Linked DNA regions of Diceros bicornis minor. The protein of the gene in region 2 interacts with the protein of the main gene of each other region in a pairwise test. Links are inferred from orthologs where the notes say so. Each region holds a gene or a part of one and is shown on either strand. Other genes may lie near its edges.

The links. The genes of interacting proteins can lie anywhere in the genome.
Region 1: the proteins of BACH2 (region 2) and BATF3 interact in binary tests that used the Homo sapiens proteins (3 or more experiments, as listed by UniProt). The link is inferred for Diceros bicornis minor from reciprocal best matches to the Homo sapiens genes BACH2 and BATF3.

What each region holds. Positions count from the first base shown.
Region 1 is NC_080743.1:78,305,292-78,313,189, forward strand, and holds the start of BATF3 (basic leucine zipper transcriptional factor ATF-like 3), read right to left. Parts: upstream 3,021-7,898; 5' UTR 2,951-3,020; coding exon 2,873-2,950; intron 2,294-2,872; exon of another isoform or gene 489-2,293; coding exon of another isoform or gene 414-488; intron 132-413; coding exon 27-131; intron 1-26. UniProt on the Homo sapiens protein: AP-1 family transcription factor that controls the differentiation of CD8(+) thymic conventional dendritic cells in the immune system.
Region 2 is NC_080762.1:42,621,005-42,628,417, reverse strand, and holds the start of BACH2 (transcription regulator protein BACH2), read right to left. Parts: upstream 3,004-7,413; 5' UTR 2,785-3,003; intron 1-2,784. UniProt on the Homo sapiens protein: Transcriptional regulator that acts as a repressor or activator. Binds to Maf recognition elements (MARE). Plays an important role in coordinating transcription activation and repression by MAFK.

The sequences.
Region 1 (7,898 bases), on a different chromosome or scaffold from region 2:
TGGCTCTGCCCCAACTACAGTCTCACCTCGTGGAGTTTGTCGGCCTTCTGGGTCTGCTTCTTCCGACTTCTCTGAGCAGCAACTCGGTTTTTTTCTCTCCTTCGGACCTTCCTGTCATCATCCTCAGGGCTCTGGGGGAAAGTGTTTGGTCAGGTGTGACGCTGAGGACCCTCGCCTCACCCTTCTCTGCCCTCTCTTCACTCAGCGTTGCTCATCGAGCTTCACCATCTTATTTGCAGTCACAGGTGCTCGTTGCTACACCAGTAGGAGAACAGGAGCCCCTTGTTATGGAGCATTCACCATGTGCCATGGCTGTGCTCAGCTGTTAATCCCCATGACCACCTTGAGAGTGTGTGGTGTGACCGCCATTTAAAAGATGAGGAATAAGAAACTCAGAGACGTTAGGAACTTACTCCAGGTATCACAGCTAGTAAGTGGGTGAATGGGAAGTGGAACTCAGGTCTGTTGGACTCCAAACCAACGTTCATAAACCTCTACCCCACAGGGCGTGAGCCTGGAAGAGTTGTGGTGTCAACGTTGTTCATCTGAGAAGGGGAAAGGCAGAAGGCATCTGCGATGTGGAACTTGTTATGTGCCAGGCCTTCTATTACCATACACAAACAGGTACTCTTGATATGGTGTGCAAATCGTGATGACACACAACTAATTGCAACCCCATCACTCTATCAACACCTCAAATGATCTGAAACACTACAGGCAATATGCTCATTTGAACAACGCTTGACTAACATTTTCTTTCACAGGTCAGAGCAAATCAGAAAGCACATTTATGATGTGTCTTGAAAGTTCTTGGCTATATAAGAGATTTAACCAAACCTAGTCAAATCCTTCAAGAGTTATCCTGAAACAGGCCGGCAGAAAAATGCACCTACCATGGTAAAAACACTCCATTCAGTTATAGAAAACATGGAGAAGTAAAGCAGTATTTGCTTCCAGAACCCTGTGAGAAGATACTAAGGAGTGGGGGGTAGAAATACTACCTTTAAAGAGTTTAAAAGCCCAGAGGTTAGTGGGATACAAACACAGGAAAGCCACTCAATTATTAATATTAATGGAAAGCAAATCAGATAACATAAAACAATGGATATTTTCAGTTATCATTTTATCTAGTCTCATATTCCAAACAAGAGGGACAAATATCATCTCCCCGAGTTACAGCCCGGTAAAGAATTTTCAGCATATCCAAGAATATAAAGCGATAAAAGGAGAATGAATACCATATACAGAAATAATATAACACATAGAAGAGGCCTGGAGACAGTGTTCAAGGAAACAGACAAGGTGTTAAAACATAGTCTTTTAGAGGCAAAGAGGTCTTGGTAAACACAACCAGAAGAAGACCACAGAGGGGAAATGTGGTGTCGAGGACAGAACTTTAGTGTAGAAATGCATGCTTCTGGTTTTGTCTCTTACTGTCAACTTGGCCTTGGGGACATGGCTTAAATTCTCTGAATTTTCAGTTTTCTCATTTATTGTGTGATTCATTCATTCTTTCAATAAGTATTAACTGAGTTCCTGCCATGTGCCAGGGGACTGTCCTGGGCACGGGAGATCCACGCCCTGAACAAACAGTCAGTAATCTCTGCAGCCATCATTCTAAAAGCCTAATGCTTGGGGCTGGCAGAAGAGAAAAGGCGAATTCATCCTAGCTCCTAGCACCCTGTGTGCCCTCAATAACGTCTGTTGAGGTTGCTGCTACTTTTTAACCAGTCCCCCACAGTGCCTGTCACCAAATCATGCCTCTCTGTTCATAATCAGAAAGTCACAGGGCACAACGAAGCAGGCTGCATGCTGCCCTCTGGGAGCTGACGCTAAACTGGATTGATCACCTATCACATGGTCCCCCCGACAGCCCAGCAGAAACGTTTAATCAAGACAGGAAGTGGGGATTAACATATTATTAACCATATCTCAATTAGTTCTCATAAAAATCATGAGAGGTTGAGATTATTATATGCATTTTACAGGTAGGGAAACTGAGGCTTGGAGAAGTTAAGCAAGTTGCCTAAGGCTACTCAGTCTGTGTGTGGCAAATTCGAGGCCCAAACTCCGATCCGTGTGACTCTCTAGCGTCACCCGATGACACTACGGGCCAGGCACCGAACTGGGAAGAGGGGCATAACGACGAAAAGACTCAGTCCTGAAGAACCTGAGCGGGAAGTTCTCGGACGGCCGTTCCTGCGGGCAACATTGTCTCAGAGTACGCAGTTGGAAATGTTGCCGGGACAGCGCGGGACTGGATGCGGGCGAGGGGTTTCCACCAGCGGAGGGGTGGAATCTGCCAACTGCGGGCCCCCACCCCGCACCCCCAGGCTGATCGCTCCCGAGTTCCCCATTCGGCCGGCAGTCGGAGGAGGGTAGATGTCGGGAGCGCCTGGGCACCAGCCGCTCCTTCGGGCTGAATTTCCCCTCTCCGCGCCCTGGCCCCCCCGCCTCGGAGCGGCCGGAAGGGCCACGCGCGCCGACGGTGGGATGGCAGCAGGCGGCGGCGCAAGGATGGCGAGACACCCGGGGCAACGCGGACAACACGTGCCGGGGAGCGTGGACCGGGCCCGGCCCCGCCAGGCGTCGGCGCCCTCCGGTCTCTCCTCGTCCCCGGGCGCAGGAGCTGGTTCACCATCCCGGACGCCGCGGGCACTGTGCGTGCGCCCGGGTCGGACCGGCAGAGACGCACGCCCGGGCTCCTGGACCGCCTTCGGGCCCCCACTCCCTCTGGTCTCTGGCTCCCGCAGCGCCCTCCACCCCGGCACTCAGCAATCACCACCCGGGAACCCAGCGCCCAGCTCCTCGCGCCCCCCGGCACCCCCACCCTCTCATCCCTGCGGTCCTCCTGGGGCTTCTAGTTCACTACCTGCGGCTGCGGCTGGTTCCCGGGTGCCGCGACGCTCCTCTGCAGGACGCTGCCGGCGGCCGGGGGCCCTTGCGACATGCCGGGCGCTCCTCCGGCCCGGCCCGCCCCGCCGCGCAGCCTCGCGGAGGAGCGGCCGCGCGGCCCGCCGCGCCCTGCACGCGGGGCGCTGCCTACCGGCGCTCGCCCGCCACCCGCATCCTCGCGCCCCCGCACCTGCTGGCCGCCGGCCCTCCGCCCCGCCCCCGGGCTTCCCGCTCTCCCGGCTCGCGCGGCCGCTGCGCGTCGCCCGGGTTTCCCCACCCCCCGGTCCCGGCCCGCCGTCCTTCCCGTCCCCAAGTCTGCCCCGCCCCCTCCTTCTCCCACCTCCGCCTCATTTCCTCCTCTCCCCGCCCTTTCGCCGCACTTCGGGGTCCCAAATCCCACCCCTGTCGCGGCTTTCCGCTGGGGCCCCTCTCTTCGTGGAAGTCACGTGGTGGCTCCGAAACCCTGGAGGCAACGTGAAGCCCACCCACAAGAGGCGACGCTGGGGCGGGCGCAGGTCCGGGAGGCGCGGCGCAACTTTTGGGGTCTTTCAGCCGCTCTCGGAGAACTCAGCTTGAGAAACACAAGTGGGTGGTTTGGGGTTGGTGGTTTTTCCCCCGGTCCCATCACGGCATCTTCCTGAGCATCAGCCCCGCCTCCCCCCAGCGCAGGGGTCACAGTTTCGGGGGACTTTCTCCGCGCGGATCAGTCATCCCGGCGCCACTCTCACTCCTTCCGAGGCCCTCGGTCTTCCCGCCCGGGAGGCTCAGGCCAGGGCAGGGGGCAGCCGGCTTTACCGAGTCCCACTGCGCACCCTGAGAGCCACGGGCGCCCCGGGGCCTTTCTGCGGGGAGCACCTGCTCTGCCTTCACCAGTCCCGCGGGGCTGTGGGAGGGAGCAAGGTGGGAGCACCCTGGGGCCCCCAGGGTGAATTCCCTCGGTGGAGGGTGGGGAGGAGGAGGTTGTCCGGGAGAGAAACAGTGACCGGGCTTCCCTGAGAGCGAATCTGCCACGGTGCAAGTCACTATTGACGGGTTCGGGAATCTGGACTCGCCATGCTAATGTTAAAGGGGCCAGATCCTTTCTGTTTTTCAAGATTCAAGTGGCAGATGCGTGACTTCACGCCAAACTGGGGACGGGTTGAAGGGACTGCGCTTTCCTGTCCACCTACCTGTCAGTTACAAGATGCAAAGTCAAGCAGTATTGTTACGTGGTCCCAGCAAAGAAGCAACGAGCGGTTACGGGTTTGTGGTCTGCATACTGTGAACACGGGCAAAGAAAGATAACCGCGAACCTGGGTGGGAGGGTGAGAACCAAGACCAGGAGATCAGACGTGCCTTTCGAGTGCGGTCGCTTAAGACTTCAGGCTCGCGGGCAGCAGCGGGGATGCGGCTCGGGCACTTCGGACTCCCAGTCTAGTGCACGTGGCTCTCTGCCAAGATTTAAGACCCTAGCAAAACCTTTGAAAAGCAGCTTGCGTGAACTTGGCTGCCGGGCAGAGGGCAGGAAAGCAAGTGGAGATTCTTGTCTGTGTGAGCAGGGGCTTCAGCCAGACAACCGAGAGGAGAGTGCAGGTTCTAGGCAGCCGGAGGACAGAGGGTGGGCGCAGCACTTTAAGCGACAGTGCCGTACCCCACGCCGCCAACGCTGCACAGCGGAGCTATCTCTACACTCGGTTATCTGCCTAGATTTCTCTTCTCATCTCTCTTGTCCTTTTCATCACTCAACATAACTCTTGGTTGCCCGCGGGGCCACGCAGGCACCCCTATGTGCCCAGCACAGCGCTCCACACACAAGTGCTCAGTAAATTTATTGCAGCAGGTCGACTGATAGCCCTCATTCTTGGAAACTTAACAGGACTCTTAACAAGATAGAGAGACCTCTGGGTCAGGTAGTCTTGAATTTTCAGAAGTGCTTTCCCTCTGCAATGTTGTTTATGAGTGGAAAGGGCAAGGTAAAAACACAGCGGACATTTAGGTGCACTCCCACACCGCATTTTGGTTATTGCTACTTTCCTGTTCTCACTGAGCCACACCGCATTCCAAGTCCTCTGGGGCTGTACCTTCCACCTCACTCCTCAGGGAGCCTGAACCCTCGCCCCAACACACAAGAACTCTTCATATAGGCATTGGCCTACTGTCTTAGTTATTCAAGGGTTTCTTCAAATATATTTAAAGGAAGAGCCTTGGTTAGCTAGTTACCATTTAAGGAACAGATCAGTTTGACCTACATAGCATACATCAAAGTGAATGGATTAAATAATTAGACATAGAAAATAAAATTAGGGAGATAAAGCAGAATTAAATCCTTTATTCAAGCCCGGGGATAAGACAAAATGGATAGAATTTTCTAAGATGGCATGTCATAGAAGAAATCACATTGGAAAGATCTGAATTTAAAAAGAATCTTAAATTGTTTTAGATGACAGTATGACCAGAAATTAAAAATGTATAGATTGGGAAAAATATTCACAGTAAATACGACAAAGAGTTAAAATCTCTATTATATATAAGCCCATGAAAAGGAATAAGAAAAATATTGAGACAATCTCCCAAAGGTAAACTGAACAAGTGACATGAACTGGCATTTCCCAACAGAGGAAATAATCAAGGAAAATAAATAGAGGAAAAATACATATTAAAATAAGAAACGTTTTAAAATATTAAATTAGCAAAATAAAAAGTTGTATCAAATGCTGGTGAGAGTATGGTGAAATTAATACTCTCATATTTCACTGGCATCATTGTAAGTTGGTACAAACCTAATGGAAAGCAATTTTATTGTAACTTTCAAGAACCATGCAAGACTAATCACGTTTTACTGAGTTTTCCCTAGAAAACTTCCAGAAAGTCATCCTAGGAAGATCATTGAAAATACTAAAGAGAAAAAAATACTGTATGCATTAAAAGTTCATAATAATATTTTTGAGTGAAAAATTTTAAGCAACATAAATTTCCAATTATAGGTGAATGGCTAAATAAAATATGTTATAGCCATGGGGTAGAATATTATGAATCTTTAAAATTATATGGCAGACAAATTTGCCACATGGAAGATTTATTTAATATGAAGCAAAGTGAGAAAAAAATCAGGATACAAAAAGTACAAGTATAACATGTATAAAAATTTGTGCATAACATTACTGTACTGCACACTTAAAAATGGTTAAGATGGTAAATTTTATGTTGTGTTTTTTATACCACAATGAAAAAGTGTGTGCATATGAGAAAAAATTGGAAAAGAATCCACAAAAGGGCTAGCTTCTTTGTCTTGGTGGTGGGATTATAAGTAATTACTTTTGCTTGTCTTTTTAAACTTTTTGAAAAATTGTTTTATAATGTTAAAACATTTTATATTTACAAGTGATATTGCCTTCCCTGGCACTGAGCTCGTTTGTCACACCAGAATGCCAGCACCTCTCTGACCAAGTAGGATGCTCTAATAACAGCCTGTTTTCTACTTTTTTGTAATATTTGCTGGCTCATTTTATTCTCCTTAAGTCAAAGGAGGAAGAAAAATGAAAATGAAGAAAAGATAAGCAAGAACAAACATTCCAAATGTCTTCTTTTCTTCTTCTACTTATCTTTTTATTTGTATTTTTTTCCTTTGAACTGGGAAGAGAAATTATATTAGAGGATTTGGCAATTTCCTATTACTACCGCAATGACCCTGGATTACATCTTTGGAGGCAGGGAGAGGAGGTGTAGGAGGTTTATAGCTCAGTGATCAAATCCTCTGATGATTCACTTCACAAGAAGACGGTTATTTATAAAAACGTGTTGCTCAAATGCTAGAAACCTTGCCGCTATTTCACCTTTATTTTTTTCTTTTAGGGAAACTGGCCTTCCAGGAAGGGCACTTATACTGCTCTTTCTCAGGAGGTGGTCCTGTGGGCTTCTGCTGGGGCTAGAGAAAGGAAAGTTTAAGGCAGAGACCCCTGCGTTTGCTACAGTCTGGCATTGTCTCAGGCACTGTTCTAGGCACTGGGATGCTGCAGATCCGCACCTCCTGGAGCTCACATTCTAGAGGAGGGAGACAGACGATAGGCAAAAGTATTTAGATGATGATATGGAGAAATATAAAGCAGGGGCGAGAAATAGAGAGTAGTAGAGGGGAAAGCAGAGTGCAATTTTAAATAGGGAGGTCAAGCAAGCTTTACCTGAAGGAGGTGAGAGAGGGAGTCATGTGAACAGTCCAGGAGCAATGGTCCAGGCTGCAAGAACAGCAAATGCAAGAGCCCCAGGGGAGTGTGCCTAGCCACTCCAAAAACTGCAGGAGACTCATATGGCTGGAGCGGAGTGAAGAAGGGCTGGATACCTAGAGGTGAGATCAGAAGGCAAAGGGCCAGGTCCTGCAGAGCCATCTGAACTATTATTGGCTTTTACTCAAAGTGAGATGGGAGAACATTGCAGGCTTTTGAGCAGAGGTGTGACGTGACCTGACTTAAGTTTTTACAGGATCACTTTGGGCACTGTGTAAAGGACAGACTGAAAGGGTGAGGAAGAAACAGGAGTGAGGGTTTGGAAGATGTTGACAGCGATAGAGGCTGAGGCAAATTTGCCAGGAAGTCAATGATCAGAAGCCTCGAGGCCCCTCACTTGCACCGACCCCTTCCAAGGCCTAGAGGGGCCCTAGCAAAGAGTTCACGTGGTGATAGGTTGTAATAAAATTTGCAAAAGTGGGATATTTTAAGCGTAAATGGTTAAGACCACTGTCTCTTTTCACCGCGACTTCCCCCCAGTCCCTTCATGTCTGGTGATGTTGAAGTGGCTGTGGGCATTTGGGGGACCTTGGGAAGGAAGGTTTGTTCAGAGATATATTATATATTGGGATATATGTATGTGGTTTGTAATCATTTCTGTCTAGAGTCATATTACTGCTAGTTATATGGCTTCCAGGAATATTCCTACTGTCCACTGTGCTAACTCACCTGACAAGGTACATTGTACTGAGACATGAACATTCCTACACTGCCAGCCACCAAATCTATGTGGGTGGCAGAAGA
Region 2 (7,413 bases):
CTGAACCTACTTTTAAGCAGTTATTATTACCCTTGATCAGGTGGAAACGTTTCCTACCATCACTGCAGAGTACATTTTCCTGAGGAACTGTAATGGATCATTAAATTCCATATCTGAATAACAATACTTTGCACTCTTGCAGTGCCTTTCATCCAGGGACTTCAAGGCAGTTTGCAAACAATTAAGCCCCTCGCACAGCAGCCAGAGGTGAGCAACTGGAAGGGACTTGCCTGAAGACACTGAGTCGAAGGCATAATTCAATAGAGAATAAATGGCTTCCTCCCAGGCACTAGTAATACTGAAAAGTGAATTAGGGGGGTCCTGATTCCCTCCTTCTCTTTCGCCTTATTCCTTCTTCTCTATGGCAGATCCTCACATGGAACATACAAAGAACTGACAAGTAACTAACATGTGCCTTCATAATTTAGCTAAGAGTTCAGACATACACTCACATGAGGAGAATGTTTTTCCATACATATAATCCTGGCATATACAATACGAATTGACATTTCAATCCACCTGCAGAATCGACATACACCAGAAGAATTAACTCAACACATTTACGATTTCCAAATGGCAAAGCTAAAGCCTTTCAAAATCCGAAATGAAAATATTGCTCTGCACAAATAACGTATGCTCTAACAAAAGTACTTTATTCCATGGTTGGTGTATTCCATTTCTGGGACCCTCATTTGAATGATATTCAGGTTTCAGGTACAGCAAATAGGATGGAAGTGGGCAATCGATGCATTTTTTTTAAACCAGAATACTAGAAGGGAAAAACATTTCAGCCACTCAAAGTTTTGCGGTGAAATGATAAACTCCTGAAAAACTGATTTTATAATGGAAATGCTGACAGACCTTTCACTGCAGCAGTTTGAATGCAACGCTGTAATTTAGCGATCGCTCTTACAGACTAAAGACTAATTCTAACAAGATGTCATTTTGACTCACTTTTATTATTACCTGCAAGAATGAAAAATGCCGTTTACTCGAGAGCTGCTGGAGGGGGCTACAGGGTGGGGCAATCTCGCATTTTAAGCGAGACGCCGGCTGCCTTACCAAAATAGCCCTTTCCACCGAAAGAGTGGCAGCCTTTCACGCTCAGCTTCTTTCATGTCAGCCAGAGCCTTCGCAGCTCGACATGCCTTTCCTACATGTTACATTTTAATGATCTGAGAAAACCGTTATCAGAGTTAACATCTCTAATTTTACTCTAAACAGACAAAAGCAAAATATCTCATTAGGCATTATCTCCGCCAAGGTTCCCACTAGGCAGGAAAGGATTTTTATCTAAAGTAATTACCCTTTTTAGTTAAATACACTCAACAGATGAAATCTACACAGAGTGAGAGACTGCAGCACTAGACGGCGAAGGTGAAAACCGAGGAACGCCGCGTCTCGCCACCCGCGCCGGGAGTCTGCGGCTCCGTCGGGGGTGGGGCGCCCTCATCCCTCTCGTTTCCCAGGGGCCACGGATCGCGGCGACCGCGGTGACCCGGCGGGCGAGCTGTGAGGCGCACCTTCTCGGGCCACAGACAAAACCATCAGGACAGCGGCTGCGCCGGAACTTCCCCCAAGTTGTCAAACTCGCCTACACTCGAGAGGGCGCTGGGGATACCCCGAGCGCCCATGACCCCCGAATCCAGGGTTGCCCGGTCCCTTTCACACACATACACCCGGCCCTCCCCGTTCCTTCCACGGTCCGAGTTTCTGCAAATCGTCGGCCAGACCGAGGTCGCCGAGATGCTCACTCGAGTCCCCTCTCGCGGGCAGCTGGGGTAGTCCATGAGCGCCGCCCGCCGCCCTCTCCATCGGCGCTGGGCTCCTGAGTACCCACGGGCGAGAGAACTGCGAGACTCACAGGGCGCCTCGGCATGGGGAAGTGGAGAGGTGGAGGTGTCGCCTGGATAAACTCCCCCCGAAAGTGGAGCTTCTGGGGCTTGGAGACTGAAGTGTGGGGAGGGAAAACAGGGTGTGTGCATATGTGTGTATTGCACTTTGATTTCATGCAGACTCCTGTGGGGAGGGAAGTGCAAGGTTTCCCTCTCTGAACGCGTGAGTCCTTCGGTTTGAGCTCCCAGGGACGCATTCCGATAACTCGGTCATTGGCTAGTGGGGATTCCACCCAGCGCGCAACCCGAGGTCCGCGCTGCGAGGCCCCCAGCCTGCCTCTTCCTGGGACCCTGAACTTGGGCTCTGATGCCCCGCCAGTAGCGGTGGTCCCGGCTACCCGGCGGCGACTGACAGCTGAGCGCAAAGGCGCGGCGGCCGCGGCCCTAGTGGAGCAGCCCCGGGCGCGGACGCCGCGGGCAGGGAGGAGGCCGCCCGGCCTGGCGCGGGGATCGCGGGGACCGGGGCGCCCGGGTCTCGCGGGTCCGGGAGCAGGGCCGTGGGTCTGACAGCTGCGCCGGCTCGCGCGGACACGCGCCTCCCTCCAGCCCGCCCTCCCCACGCCTGACTTATTACCCTCTGCTCCTCCTCCCCCTGCTGTTCCAAAACACCCGTCGACGCGAGCAAAATACACTGCCGCCTCGCCGCTGTAAACAGCCAGGCGAGAGAGCGCACATTCGCCGCGGCGCGTCGGCCGGCTCGGCTCCCACCCCCTTCCCGTTCCTAGAAAATGCCATAACAGCGGCCAGGGCGCTCGGCTGGCGGCTGCGCACCGGGCAGCCGCGGCTCCCTTGCCGCTCCGCTTCCCCACGCCTCCCCGCCTGCCCCGCGCCCCCCGCAAACTTGCCCCGCCGCCCCGCCCGGCGCCGGGGCCCGGGGCCGGGGACTCACCTCGCCGAGAAGTTTGCGTCCTTTTCCGCCTCCTCTTCCCCGCGTCTTCCCAGCCCGCAGCCCCTCCCGGCAGCCGGCGCGGTGGGCGGTTCGGGGGTCACCGAAAGCTCGCGGAGAGGACGCGCATCACATGGCAGCCGGTTCCCAGCCCCCTGAGTGTGCCGAGGAGGGGGAGGGGACGGGTCGAGGGCAGGCCGAGGAGAAAGCGAGAGCCCGGCGGCGGCGGCGGGAGTGGGCAGGCGGGGTGGCGAGGGCGGCGGCGAGCGCAGCCCCGGCGTGCACGGTCGCTGCTGCTGCTGCTGCTGCTGCTGAGGCGGCGGCTGCTCGGCGCTGGTTGCTCCTCGCCGCGCGGCTCGCGCTCTCCCCGGAACGCCCACACTCTCAATCGCTACATTGTTGACATTCGGCGCTGACGTCACCCACTCCCCATTCACAATAACTTTACGGGAGCCGGGCAGCGCACCTCCCCGGCCGCTGGGGCGCCGTACGCCCGGCGACTAGCGTAAGCCGCTCCGCGAATGGCGCGCCGGGCGCTGGGGCGGGGGGCGGGCGCGCGCTCCGCCGACTCGCGGGAGGGGGCGCGCCTCACGCCGCCGCCGCCGCCGCTCTGCCCGCTTTGTGCGGCCGCGCGGCTGGGAGGGCAGCCTGCTCCGGGCCGCGCTCACAGCCTGGCGGGGGCCGGCCTTGCACGGGTCTCGCAGGGGCCTTGAAAGACGAGGGCTGGGGGCTAGTGGGGCGGGGGGGAGTGGTGAGAGCTGGTGTGGCACGTGGGGAACGGGGCAGAGCCCAGGGCACTACGTCCAGGAAGGGGAGCAGGACTTCGAAGCCTGGGATTCCTGGGTTGTCTAGCGTTTCCCAGGAGGAGCAGGAAAAGATGCTCCTTGGGCCGCCGCAAAGCTGACCGTGGCCCGTCTTGGGTGGGGGTGGGGCAAGGAAGAGTAGCTCCCCACCCAATACCAGTGTTGGTGTTTGAATCCTTTCCCGGCCTGTCCTCGGCCTGTCCCGCCGAGAGAGCCTCTGAGCCCTCACGCCAGGGTTTTAGAAGTGACTCGAGTAATTGTGAAACGTACATGAAAAGCCTACCTCCCAGGTTCAGCCCCGCTCCTACTGGGTTCCAGCCTCTCCCTCTGGAGGCGGCCAGGGTGTTGCTGCTGCCTTTAAAGCCATCCTGTGGCTGCCCTGTCAGAAAAGATCTCGATGGTGGTTAGGATTTTAAAGAAAGGAATTAGGACTTAGACTGAACGAACATTTGCAATAAAAGAAGGTTGTGTTAGTGTAGTGCTGGTGCCTGCAACTTTACCCCCGCCAAGGCCAGGAAATTCTGCCATGTCTCCCTGAACACCTATAACTTGGCCCCCTTGTGTACAGGCAGTATTCCATATTATTACATGTGGTGCTGATTTTTAATGAATATTATAAAACTTTGGCTCGCTCTACTGAGAGAAGGATCATAAATCCCCCTGCAAAATGGGCACTGGCATATGCTGAGAAAGCAGTGAAGCGTTGCCCTGGGAGTCTTGTGATATCAGCCAAAGTGTTGCTCTGAACCACCTTCGTTCCAGGGCAGAGTTTTAAAAGGCCCCATTTTGAATGTCTGTGTGGAAAGCTAAGAGATGGCAGAAAGGAAGCTGAAGGGGTCGAGTGACTTTCCTAACAGCATTGCAGTGCGTCGATGTGTAGGTCTAGAACCACACTGGGAGTTTTTCTTTGCTAGCCTCTCCGGTTTTCAGATGAGAAGTCTCAGAGATAGGAACAGTCCTTGCTCTTCTGACTTTGGGTCTGGTGCCCTTTTTGACAAAACAGCCTGCTTCTGAGGTCCCTGCCTGGCCCCCTGGCAATGACAGAGGATACTGATCCCTGGTCTGCCCTGGCAGGGCTATTTCTTATCGTCTTATGGATGGTGATGTTTCCGCATTCCTTAATCTTGTAAGCGTGAGTGTCAATGCGATAACTTTATGCGTCTTAATAGCACCAATAAATGTTTTTCTCTCAAGAGCCAGGCTTGAGGAGATCCCTGTGAGGGTCGTGTAAATTCATTTCTTTTCAAGCAGGCCATGGCTGCCAAGCTGAGGCGGAGTTGGGCACAGCAAAGAGCAGGGGATGCTGCTGCAAGCTGATCTCCCCCTACTTCTGGTCCCAGATGGATGTAACAAAGGCTATTAGGTCATTTCAGTTAGTCTTTCTACTTGCCAAAGACAGACTGGAGCTTTTTTAGTTTGAAATTCTCAAGTATGAGATGGAACAGCAATTAGAGATGAAAAAAATCTAATGCAACTGTGATTGGTTGTATTATCTAGTCATTCAAGGAGGTTGAATTAGAACGAGCGGACCTCTAAGGCCATGTCCAGTATGCAACCATGTGCCTTTATGGCTGTGAATAAAACAAAATCTTTGCCTTCAAGGAGCTTGAAGTCTAGTAGGGAGTTACTTATTTCATTTTCAGTAGGTAGAAGTGGGTTATTTGAATTAAAGCCTGGGAAACATACTCAGAATTGTATGAAAATAGCATGGTAAGTCAGGTACTGGCCACTGTTCTAACTGCACTACCGCAGAGGTGAGGCTGTGGATGGCCACCACCCTCGTTGTGAATGATTCCTGGCCGTTCCCTGGGTTTGTGGTGCTGTTCTGGGCCCTTCGGCAGTTACAATGTGAAACAGATGCAGGTCCTTCCCTCTGTATATTCATGGCGGTAACCTGAGTAGAGGTCAATTTATTTCCCATGCCTGCACCATTCAACCTTTTCTGATATACTTTTTTTTACCTACATAATTACATGTGCACTGATCCAGAATATGGGCTTCATCTGGGATACATTTCTAAGCAGGATGTGATTTCCAGGGACAATAACTGTACCATAGCACTGAAGTCAGTAAACTTTATTTCTATAAATCTCCTTGATTTTATAAAATAAAATAAGAAAATTAAAATATCTGGGAAACAAAAATATGAGCAAAGGAAGACAGAAGAAAGAAGTGAGCAGTTCTCAAGGTTTTGATTTTCTGGCTCTCCAGCCTCCTCTTATAGGATCTGATGATGTTGAGAAGATATAATGGTTTTTCTTGGGCAGAACAGTAGGCAGAATTTTAAATGTGGCACCTTGAATAAAATATAGCAGGACAAAGTTAACATCCATTGAGCGAGAACGAAGTGAGATATTTAGAAGGAGAATGCTGAAGCCAGTGTACTGAAAGAAGTTCTGTTAAGAAGAAACTGAGTTCTACTCATTGGGCATATTGCTCAGAATTATGACTAAGGTTTATTATTTCAAAACCAGATGTTTTGAAGTGTATCTAAACTATAAAACCTCGGCTCAGACTGCACAGGTGACACTTGGGAGAACTGATGAAATTTGAGTAGCTTTGAATGGTGACTTGTTCAACAACTGTTGAGGCAGGCACTATTCTACAAGCTGGGATGTAGAATTCTCGTTCTAGTGGTGAGATTGAGATGGGGAGGAAGACAGAAAATGAGCTTTTATATATATATTTTTATATATAATAAACATCAATGTCAAGTTGTATGTTATAATATCTGAGAGTAAAGAGTGCTATGAAAGCAAATAAAGTAGGTATAGGAGCTCAGGAGTGATAGGGGTGGGGCCATTCTTAGGGTGGTTGGGTCAGAGATAGTGTCCCTGATGAGGGGACATTTGAGCAGAGATATGAATGAAGTGAGGGAGCAAGCTCTGCAGCTATCTTGGGGAAAAAAAGCTTTTCAGGTACGGAGAAGAGCAAGTGCAAAGGCCCTGAGGTAGAGTAAATGTGGCATGCTCCAGGGACAGCAAAAACGCCACCATGCCTGATGCAGAAGAGCAGGAAGGAGGGTAGCAGGAGATGGTGCCAGAGGGATAGCCAGCAGACTTACAGTTTAGGTCCAATGGGAAGACATTTATAGGGATTTCTGCAGAGAAAGGACATGACCTGGCCTCAACTCCTAAAAGATCATTCTGTTTACCAAGTGGAGGAGAGGACAAGAGTGGAAGCACAGAGACTAGGTAGGAGGCTACTGAGATAGGGCAAGAGAGAGGTGATGGTAATTTGGACTACAATGATAGCTATAAATGAAATCTAGACATATATTCAAAGTAAACCAGATAGGACTTATTGATGATTCAACTGTGGGATGTGAGAGAAAGAGGAGTCAAAGGAAATTCTGGATTTTAGTCTGAACAGCTGAATAATGGAGATCCCATTTAGTGAGATGGGAATCCTACAGAAGGAGCAGGTATGGGAGGAAAGCTCAAGTATTTGGGTTTGAATATAGTAAATTTTGGATGCCTATCCACCATCTAGGTGGGAAAGTTGAGTAGGCAATTAGACATGAGAATCTAGACTTCAGGAGGGAGAAATCTGTGGGTCATCAGCATATAGAATCTGGGACCGTGAGTAGAGAAGAGAAGAGGTCTGAGGATTGAGACATGGGGCGCTCCAACATTTGGAGGTCAGAAGAGAAAGAAAATGAAAAAGATCTGGCCAAGGTGGCTGAGAAACAGCAGCCAGTGAGAGAGAAGGGGAGAGGGATTGTAGCATCCTGGAAGCCAAGTGGAGGAGACTGTTTTGAGAAGCAGAGAGTAATCAGCTGTGTCAACGCTACTGATGGGTCGAATAAGGTGAGAACACATCATTGACT